2 linked regions of the Caenorhabditis elegans genome follow. The protein of the gene in region 2 purifies or fractionates together with the protein of the main gene of each other region. This does not show direct contact. Each region holds a gene or a part of one and is shown on either strand. Other genes may lie near its edges. The genes, in order: ugt-44 and pho-14.

Region 1 (4,626 bases), on a different chromosome or scaffold from region 2:
GTTCAGGTCGATATACAAATTTTATTCGAATGGAGGAAGTTACATATCAAATTCAGCATTTTGTCGATTATCTCTTTTTTTCTGTTTAAAGATTGAGTTAAATTTAAAAAATAAAAGCAAAAAATAAGGGGAAAGAAAACGTATACAACAAAATCATGGGGTAGAATTGGTGGATGATAAAACGATCCTGTACACCATTAATAGTTTGTGGGATCAGATTGGGGGAATGAGAACGTAAAGGTGGAAGAATTTAACCGGGTAGCAAACACAGAACAATTAAGTTTTTTCTGGAATGAGCTTTGTTAGGCGGTTCCAGATGGCAACAGTGAATTGGTGGAATCCTTTGTTTGTTGAGCCAACAGATCTAAGCAACTTTGAAAAAGGCTTGTGTAAAATGTGGTCTCAGTTTGATCACACATATAATTTTATACAACACTTGATGTTTGAACAGGGATTAAACAAAACTTGAATAAGAAGTTGTTGAAGCTGCTAAATAGGCAAGAAGTTTAGATTTTAGATTAAAATATCGAAATAACTAAAAATTAAAAAGTTTGCAAAACAGTGCGTATACTTTTAAAAGTGTCCACTGGAAGCTTCATCCTTTGAATTACAAAGCATTAAAAAAACAAAATTGAGAAATAAATCAATTTGTCTTGATAGCTGATAACAATATGTAAAATTTAAATGCCAAAACTTCGCATTTATTTTTTTTCCTGTAAAGGATGCAAATGCGAAACTACTAAAATGCGATAAATTATAATTAGTTTATTATTATGACAGTGTCAAATACCCATATAAAATACAACAAAAAACTACAAAAAACTACAAAAAACGTAGTATACGATTGAATGATCACACATAATTTTAGAACAAATTAATCAAACTTAAACTTGATCGAAACCAAATTAGTCAAGTTATGGGATGCTCTTAGAACCTTCGAAACGATCATGTACAAAGCAACCGAGAAAATTGAAAGGATTGCCATAAAATCGATATAGTAGAACTCGATGAAGCTCATTTCAGCTGCATATGAATCAAGTCCATGTGGTTTTCCAAATCTAGCAACAAAGTTGAAATATTTGATAAATATCTCCTTTGGTGACTCTGGCTGATTTCTCAACATTTGCGCCAATTTCTCAGCTTTCATGGAATAGCTCTTATCGTTCAGCATTTTTCTGATAGTTCCTCTGACTTTTTTAAAGTTAGTGAGATCGTATTTCGTGAGAACCAATGCAACTTCATGTCTCTCCAACATTCTTGCGTTTCTCGTTTGATCACCAAAAACTGGAACCATTATCGATGGTTTTCCACTGAATGCAACTTCATTTGTACTTCCCAATCCACCATGAGTAACAAAAAGAGTCAATCTTGGGTCGGCTAGAAGTGCAGTTTGTGGCATCCAATCAGTAAGCATCACATTATTGATTCGTTTATTATACTGTTTCACAATATCGACAGTTGTGTTCTCGTATTTCCAGATAAAAGTGGTGTCAGGCATACTCTCGAAGGTTTTGATGAGTGATTCTCTGAAATAAATAGAAAATTTAGAAGGGAGTTGAAAACTATTTCAACATTATTGACATCATGATTTTACGATTTTACGTCTTTCCAAAATAGTTAATAGGAGTCATGTCTTTGTCTTACAATTTCAAACCTTATCAAAAATTACCGTTTCGTCTCTAAATTAAAAGTGGGATGATAAAATTCTTGAATGAAAAAAACTTACTTCATGTCATCTGACATAAACATTGACTTTGCATTAGTACCAAATGAAATGAGAACATTTTTTTTGCGAAGTGACAAAACTCTATCGTACTCTTCAGGAAGACGTTCTTGTTTGACTGGCCCAGATGAGATTCCTCCAATTTCAATGAACTTTGATGTGCGGGGACTTGGAATATCCATTTGTGGATTACTGTTGACAAACATATATGCATTCTTTCTTGACAATTCTCTCCATCCTTTTCCATTCTTGTAGATTCCTTCAATTCCTGCCAATTCGTTCTCGTAGATTTTACTGTTAAAGTAATAATTGAAGTAAGATTCTACATAATTTTTGGCTCTTCCGATTAATGTCATTCTTTCAGATCCACTTGAAAATACAGCAGGCAGGTAGCTAGTAGAAATAGATGCTCCGTGTGCAATTTTTGAAACTTCTAGACCAAGATGGGAATCGGTGGAGATTGTTGTTTCAATTCCAAGATGATCAAAAAGAGCAAATCCACAAGTGTACAGAGGCTCTGAGATAGCTACATCAAAACGTTGATCGCGAAGGTAGTTGATGAGATCCTCATTTTGGAATACATCTAAAAATAACATGTTTTATTTACATTTAGGAATATTAAAAAATAAAACTCACTTTTACAGGAAGCTTTGCAAATGTTGGCTACCTTGGTTCCGAGTTTCAAAAATCCAATGATTCCCGAGTTCATAACCCACGTATTTTCGCGGCCTCCTCCAGCTCTGAACTGGGCATTTGCTTCAATGAGTTCCTCACTTTGTTCGACGAGAATTCGATTTTTTATTTTTCTAACAAGTGGAGTGGTATCCCGAAGTCCTTCGTCAAGAATCGGCAACAGAAGGGTCTACAAAAAAGAAAATTTAAGAAATTGTACATACAAGAATTTCTTATGTTGTAATATTCCTTAAAAAGTACAGTAACCCAACTCACCACATTATATCCTTCATCTTGCAATATATTAGCAATTGTTCCCATGAATTTAAGATGAGAATGTCCACTAATTGGCATAAAAACCAATACTTTTTTGGGTCGTTCAATACCATTGATAGTCTGTGAATAGTAGACAATGATGAGTAGCAGAGCATACCAAAATGTGCTCATTATGTATGTTTAGTTAGCAGAATGTTAGCTGTGTGTGTGCTGCTGGGTTATCAGTTCGGACAACGTGAATTTATATGGACGCCTCTGAAGCTTCGATGATTCAGGAGATGCACGTCACCGCAGATAACGTCATTGATAAAATATCTATTGATTTCGGGGTATTTTTCGGAACACCCCTCCGGTTTGGGAGGAGCTTACATTAGGTATATGGTAAGAGGTCTGGAGCCTTGAAGCCTGGAGCCTAGAATGTTGAGAAGCCAGACTAGACGGTCATGGGGAATGTAGATTAGTTTTTATCAGGAAGGTGCATATTTCGTTATTCCGGTTCTGTCCGGAAGGGAAATAGAAAGTGCAGTTGATTTGGAGGTTCGCTGTACGCAAAAACTTAACCCGGATTTTTAGTTTCATGAGTACTTTTTATTTGTAATTGCACAAATATTTCACGTGAGCTAACTCGAACCATTTATGATTTTTATCTATTGTACCACTGTACTGTACCTTGAAAGTTCCATTAGAACTGATTGCGTCAATGATTTTTTATTTTGAAAAAGGAGCATTATCGAAAATTAGATTGGTTCATTTCTAAAATAAAAAAATTCTCAAAAACCATAAATCATATTACGGTAATTTTTTATGCTCTTTCTAGAAAATGTATTCTTTCTTTTTACACAATTACATTAGCGGAAAGTGACAAACTTCCAAAGCTCTAACCTAAACTATGTATACATGTATATTCAGAAAATTCCTCCCGGAAAATGTTAATTTTCCCATTAAGAAGAAGAGTTGAAATAATTCTTGACATTTCATTTCTCATTTTCCCTGATTAAAATGCAACTTTTTTTCAAAAAAAATCATCTGCACTATTATCATTTTGTGTTCCATAAAATTATGTCAATCTTCGTCATCGCCTACGCTAGTGTCCATTTTCGTATTGTGGTCTCCTCCGATGAGCACAAATTACGATTAGGCGAAAAAGTGACGCGAGGTCATTTTATGTCTAAAACTCATTCACTTTTCATTACTTGCTCCTTTGGTTTACGTTCCCCAAAAAACCATTATGTCCTACTTCTGGTAGGCGAGAGAAGTGGGCGAGAAACATCCGTGAACATTTTAAACATTTTTGTTTACAACCACATGAAGGAAGCAATCAGTAAAACATTTTAATAATTTTCATTTTATCAGTTAAAAGTTAATTAAAAAAGGACGTAAGGAAGGAATGCGCTAAATCTTTGAGATATGAATAATTGGACATGTGGTCGTCGCGGAGTACCAGCCAAAAGTAGATGTGTTTTCATTTTCTTTTTATTCTTAAAATTTTCATCGGACACTTTAAGTCAGAATTCAACAACAGTTGTTTTAAAAACTGTTCAAAAAATGCAAAATCGAATATTTACCGGTTGTTCATGATTTTGCAAAATATGTGTCATTTTTGGTTTGTAAACGATCGAAAAAAGTAAAGTAGAAAGAAGAAGAAGTAAAGAAGAAGAAAGTAAGAAAGAAGAAAGAAAGAAGAAGAAAGAAGAAGTAAACGAAACGAATGTTTTTATGATATTATTGCACCGTATATTTTACTTCCTTCTATTGCTGAAAAAAATTAAACATCGAATACTCGTCGAACAAAAGTGAGACAGCTTCATGAAAAGGTAGGTTCAAGGACGAAAGAGCCAGGCGTCGCTTGCAGGTAGTTCTATTTTGCAAGTAGTTTCAAAAACAAGTTTTCGTCGATTTTTGTCTCGAAATGAACTTGCAATTTGAAAACTACAGTACATTTTGTTTGCCCTTTT
Region 2 (5,517 bases):
GCTTCAGTCTTAGGCTTAATCTTAGGCTTGAGATTTGGCTTAGGCTTAGGCTTAGACTTAGGCTTAACTATAGGCTTAGATGTAGCCTCCGGTCTAGGCTTAGGCTTAGACTTCCTCGCACAAACCTAGCCGTGTGAGTACTTTTCTGAAAGCTTATGTTATCTTGATTTCAATTTTTTGCAAAGTTACTTTAGTAGATCAATTTTTTTCGGAAAAACTTGACAAAACGAATATTTTTCAGCGCGTTCGCAAGGGGCTCAACTTGGATGGTTCCTTCGAATCCCCAGCCAAAAAGAACCTGGTGAACAACGCCGAGGAGCTGAAATTCATCGAATCCTCTTCTCAATAAACTGAAATTTTCAGATTTTTTTTTTGATTTTTTTCGAATTTTTTTTCATTTCGACCCCCCCGCAATACTGAGATTCTTCAATGATCTTTTGCTGTTTATTTCTTCATATTTTCCCTGAATTTTGTCCATTTTCAGACAAGCTTTATCTTCTCCTCTTCCCGTTCATTTTTCCATTCCAATATGAGCTTTTTCTATTACTTCTCCAGCTGGTTACCCCCCTGACCCCCGTATTTTTCAACAAAAAAACCGATTATCAATTGAAATTCACTTTGTTACACAATTTCCACTCAACGAATTTTAGTGTTATAATTTTTTAACTTCAAAATCAATCAATAAACTCTTAATCTGAAAATCTGGAATAATCTTTCTCGAAATTTTCAAAAATACTTTATTTCACCAAATTATGCTTCTTTATCAATTATCTCTGATCTTCCACAAAGTCCGATTTTTCTCCGCCGACTTCTTCGGAGCACACTCCTTTTGCAGGTTGACTGGTAGGAATTTAAGACTGCGCTGCTCGAAAGTCTGAAAAATATTCGGTTTTTAATGTTTTCATAGAAAAACTCGAGATCGGCATCAAAGTTCCGGAATTTTAACACCCATATTCACCCGGTTACGCCAAGTTCGAGTTTTCAGCGTGCGTTGCGGTCGCGTCGCGGTCATCTGAGAACTAAATGGACGCGGAATGAGGAAAATTAAATTGTATTAACAGAACTGGGTTTCTTTTGAAATTTGATGAATTTTGACCCCCATCTTGACATAGTTAGGACAAGTTTGATTTTTCACTGCGCGGTGCGGTCGCGTCGCGGTCATGCAAGATATAAATTGTCGGGAAATAGTAGAAATTGAACTTTGTAAAGTTTTGACACCCATATTGGTTTAGTTACTTCAAATTTGAGTTTTCGCGGTGCGTCGCGGTCGCGTCGCGGTCCACGGAATAATCAACTTGATGGGGAATGAGCGAAATTAACCAAAAGCCAAATTTTTGGTAGAATTCTGATTTTTTTTTTACAAAAACACACTAAAAACTCACTTTCAACGGGCAGAACTCTGAATTATGGGGACAACCCTTTGCCAGATGGGTGATGACGTGGTAGTTGTGATGGAAAGCGCTGTGGAACAGAACCTGAAGCACTTTTTAACCAATTTTTTGTTTAGTAGGTCAAACTACAGTACCCTGACACTTGGTCCTCCATTTTTCAAATTCCAAAGTTCCACTGCAACAGAGGCAGTGTAGTGCGGCATACCGCCTTCGATAACTCGCTCCTCGTCACCAAAAGTGGTCAGGAAGGCGTAGACAGTTGTGTCGTGCTGCAAAAAAAAATGGGAAAAAATTATTTGGCTCCGGGTGGGGTCGAACTTTGGTGTTGTGATTGGAAGGCATCCCTGTTACCAGTTGAGCCAAAAGCCTAATTATAATTAAGCTTTTTGGCTCAACCGGTAACAGGTTTGCTTTCCAATCACAACACCAAAGTTCGTCCCCACCCAAGACCAAAAATTTTTTTCAATTTTTGTTCTTTGTCAAATATCGATTTTTCGATTGGTTTTTATATTTTCTTCCGAATTTTTCGAGTTCCACACTTACAGCACTATAAGCATGATACTTAAGTTTTCCAATCCAGCTGCAATCTTCTCCCTCATTATTTTTCGCCAAGCAGCTCAATTTTTGATTCATTTTGTCCATCATCGCACGCAAAAGAGGGCCTACAACATATTTTATAAATTTTCAGACAAAAAATGGCTTGAAACTGTACCTCCTCTCAGTCTGATGAGCTCCGGGATGTAGGGGTCTCCAATTCCAAAGAGGAATCTCGTGGACACTTGCGACAAATTTCTGAGCTTGATTTCCACGTCATCAGTGATCCATTCAGGTTGGGACATGTTGTAGAGCTTCTGAAAATTGGAAGTTAAAACAAGGAACCGCGACGCAACCGCGTCGCACCACTGAAAATTTCAAAATTAAGCTATCCTAGCCGATATGGGGCTTAAAACTTCGGAAATTTCATGTAGATTTCAAAAATTTTAATTAAAAAAAACTCCCAAACCTCAATAAAATGCACATCGTTGACCATATAAATCTCGGGCATGATCACTTTTTTCCCGGATTTCTCGGAGACAAAATCCAAAAACTCTTGATTTTCAGCGACAAACTTCTGGAACCCGGAGCCTGCGTAGATTTGTCTAGTGAGCTCCTCAGCCCGAGCACACGGAGCAAACACATTTCCAACCGGATCATCTTTTTCAGCCAAAGTGTGAATTGGGATCGGGGTCCAGTTGGTGGGCCATCTGGAATATTTTTGAATTTTTTTTCGAAATTTTTTTTTTTTGAATTTTTTCCAATACCTCTTGGAGTCCGGATAATCAGCTCCTCGATTTCCATTTTCAAACATTCCAGCCAAATTTGCTAGAGCTGAAACCAACGTGCGATTTACGTCAGTAGAACGGATGTAGACCTGCGATTTCAGATACAAAATCAGCTAAAATTTCAGCCAAACCTCTTTGGAGTTGTAAGAGGAGCTCAAAAGTTTGCTGGGACCCGTCGAATTCACATATTTCTTGTATAAAAGTCGTCCCAGGGCGTATTGTTGGCGCATTCCGAGCTGAAAAAATATTTAAAAATTTTTTGACCGTGCTGGGGGTCGAACCCCTGGCCTATTTCTCCCAACCATCTCTGCTACCAGTTGAGCCAAAACTAATTTTTAAAATTTGATTCTAACATGCTTTTCAGGCAGTATTATGTGATATATACCGTAACTAGGTCAAACAAAAATTATTAACCAGAACGGGAAATCGAACCCATGACCTACTGCTCTCAGCCATCCCTCTTACCAGCTGAGCCACAGCTGCAACTTTAAAAAATCTGGAAAAATGACTACCAAAGGGAAATTTTACGAGGAACCCAAAAATTGCAATTAAATTTTCTGAAAATTCCTACCTGTGTCAGTTCTCCCCATCCATTTGGCCAAGCCTCTTCCTTATGTGGATCCGTCGGGTAGGTGCCGGTTGGGGCTCGGTCTCCGTGCCGCCAGACCACTTGAGAGAGCAGAAGCTCATCCCCGTCCTCCAGTCTTCTCTTCTTATACTCTCGAGGTCTGTGTATTGGAATGTCCTGCTCAGCTTGGACAACTTCCTAAAAATTTAGATTTCAAAAGTTTTAGGCCTCAAAATCCAACAAAAAAGTCTTACCGGGTCCGCGTGTCCTAGATATTCCAGGGTTAAAGTAGCTCTAATTAAGAAAAAAATTAACAAGATTATCCTCATACTTCGGCTGAAAAGAATTTAACTTGAAGCAAAAAGTCAAAAAAATCTGATTTAAAAATCTGGAAAATGATTGAAAAATTGAAAGAAATGAAGAACGGAGCACCGGCTTTTTCAATATTACACAAAGTGGGCGAGAGTGAGGTCAGTAGGGGATACCCAGAGAGAAATGGATTCAGGAAGACGCTTGTGATGAATTTTTGTAGGAAAAATTGATTGAAAACTTTTTTTTTAAATCTGGAAAAAAATGTGATTTTTTCTCAATATTTCTCAAAATTTTCTTTACTTATACTATCTCAAAAAATAATTTTCAGTACTGATAAAACAAAATAAAAAATTTTGTCCCTACCGGGGTTCGAGCCCCGGACCTGTGCGTCATAGATGCACCTCCTACCAGTTGAGCCAAAAATTCAATTTTTCAATTTTGATGTACCCCGGAATCAGAATTTTGTGGGGATTTCGAATTTTTCCTTCTAATTTTTATAGAATTACTGTTAAGCACGCCAAAAAGTCAAGTTTTTATTTATCTTTTGAAAAAAAACCGGAAAAAAAAACATTTTTGAGAATAAATTTTTATTTTCAGTTTAATATAAATGAACGAAATCCATTGTATAATATTTATTAGGAAAAAAAAGTTATCCAACAGGCAAACACGGCGAAATTTCATAGTTTAACGGGAGGTTCTTCGCCATGGGACACCATTTCTGAAAATATTTATGTTTACGGAATTTTTCTTAAAATTTCAAAAAATCACTGATAAAAATTGTGTCTTCTACCCAAATTCCCGCCCACCCACCTGATTATCACCGATGACTCGTCGATTTTCGCAGTTTTTATCAGTGAATTTGAAAATTTGTGCATTTCCGGGCAGTTTGTAGCATAGCTGAAATTATTTGTACTACTTTCAATCAAAAGATAGGATGAAAATTACAGATTTCCGACAGAAAGGGGCCAATTTCAAGCCGATCTTGTGTTTTTCAGCGATTTTCAGAAAGTCTTCGCAGGAGTTTTCGAGGAATTCACAGCCGAATTTTTTTCCGTAAGAATATTGATTGGCTTCAGTGGAGATGAAAGTACCGTTGATGTGGTACCATTGCCTAAAAAAAATTTCAGCAAAAAAAAGCTGAAAAAAACAAATTTTTTTAAAACAAATTTTTTTTTAAATTTTCAACTTTCTCAATTTTCACTAATTTCAATGAACAACAATCACTGTTTAGTACTTAGCAAAGAAAACAAAAAATGTTGACCCTTACGGGGGTCGAACCCCGGACCTATTGCCCACAAGTCAACCCTCTTACCAGTTGAGCCAAAACTCCAGTTTTCAAAAATCCTAAAAAAAAACTGCTTTCTGGTCAGAATTTGACGGGGATTTCAAATTTTTACGTTTAAAGGTAGCTAGAATTCAGTTTAGGATCAGAAAACTCAAATGTTCAATTTCACTGAAATTTTTTTTTCGAGGATCATCAAAATGTTAATTTTTCTTACTTGTTACGTCGGTTCGAAAACAAAAAAAAACAATTCCTAACACTAAAAAGTAAAACAAAAAATGTTGACCCTTACGAGGGGTCGAACCCCGGACCTATTGATCACAAGTCACACCTCTTACCAGTCGAGCCAAAACTCCAAAATTTATTTTTCTCCAAAAAAATGGTTTCTACTCAAAATTTCATGAGCATTCTGAATTTTTACATCAAATCTTGAGATTCACTCACTTTTCACCATTAAATGTCCTCTCAATAATTCCGACAGAAATCCAACTGAACACATTTCCATGTGGCTCCAAATGTGTAGTCATAAGCTCGTTCTAAACTTCATTTTTCTGCTGGTTCTTGGAAAATTTCATAAAAATCCTTACCCCAAAAATGTACTCATTCAGGTGATTTTTCAGCTCCCCATCCGCCTGGACTCCA

Evidence for each region.
Region 1: the proteins of pho-14 (region 2) and ugt-44 fractionate together in Caenorhabditis elegans (co-fractionation; one large-scale study listed by BioGRID). This does not show direct contact.

Annotation. Positions count from the first base shown.
Region 1 is NC_003282.8:10,468,024-10,472,649, reverse strand, and holds ugt-44 (glucuronosyltransferase), read right to left. Parts: upstream 2,910-4,626; 5' UTR 2,843-2,909; coding exon 2,672-2,842; intron 2,586-2,671; coding exon 2,360-2,585; intron 2,307-2,359; coding exon 1,727-2,306; intron 1,527-1,726; coding exon 875-1,526; 3' UTR 751-874; downstream 1-750.
Region 2 is NC_003280.10:1,097,203-1,102,719, forward strand, and holds pho-14 (Histidine acid phosphatase), read right to left. Parts: upstream 3,618-5,517; 5' UTR 3,611-3,617; coding exon 3,536-3,610; intron 3,480-3,535; coding exon 3,285-3,479; intron 2,950-3,284; coding exon 2,845-2,949; intron 2,803-2,844; coding exon 2,693-2,802; intron 2,636-2,692; coding exon 2,395-2,635; intron 2,243-2,394; coding exon 2,104-2,242; intron 2,054-2,103; coding exon 1,935-2,053; intron 1,661-1,934; coding exon 1,526-1,660; intron 1,476-1,525; coding exon 1,383-1,475; intron 875-1,382; coding exon 764-874; 3' UTR 725-763; downstream 1-724. Other genes in the region: snf-3 (Sodium- and chloride-dependent betaine transporter), read left to right, coding at 242-349; T13B5.9 (Leishmanolysin-like peptidase), read right to left, coding at 4,243-4,311, 4,404-4,490, 4,539-4,704, 5,320-5,411, 5,463-5,517.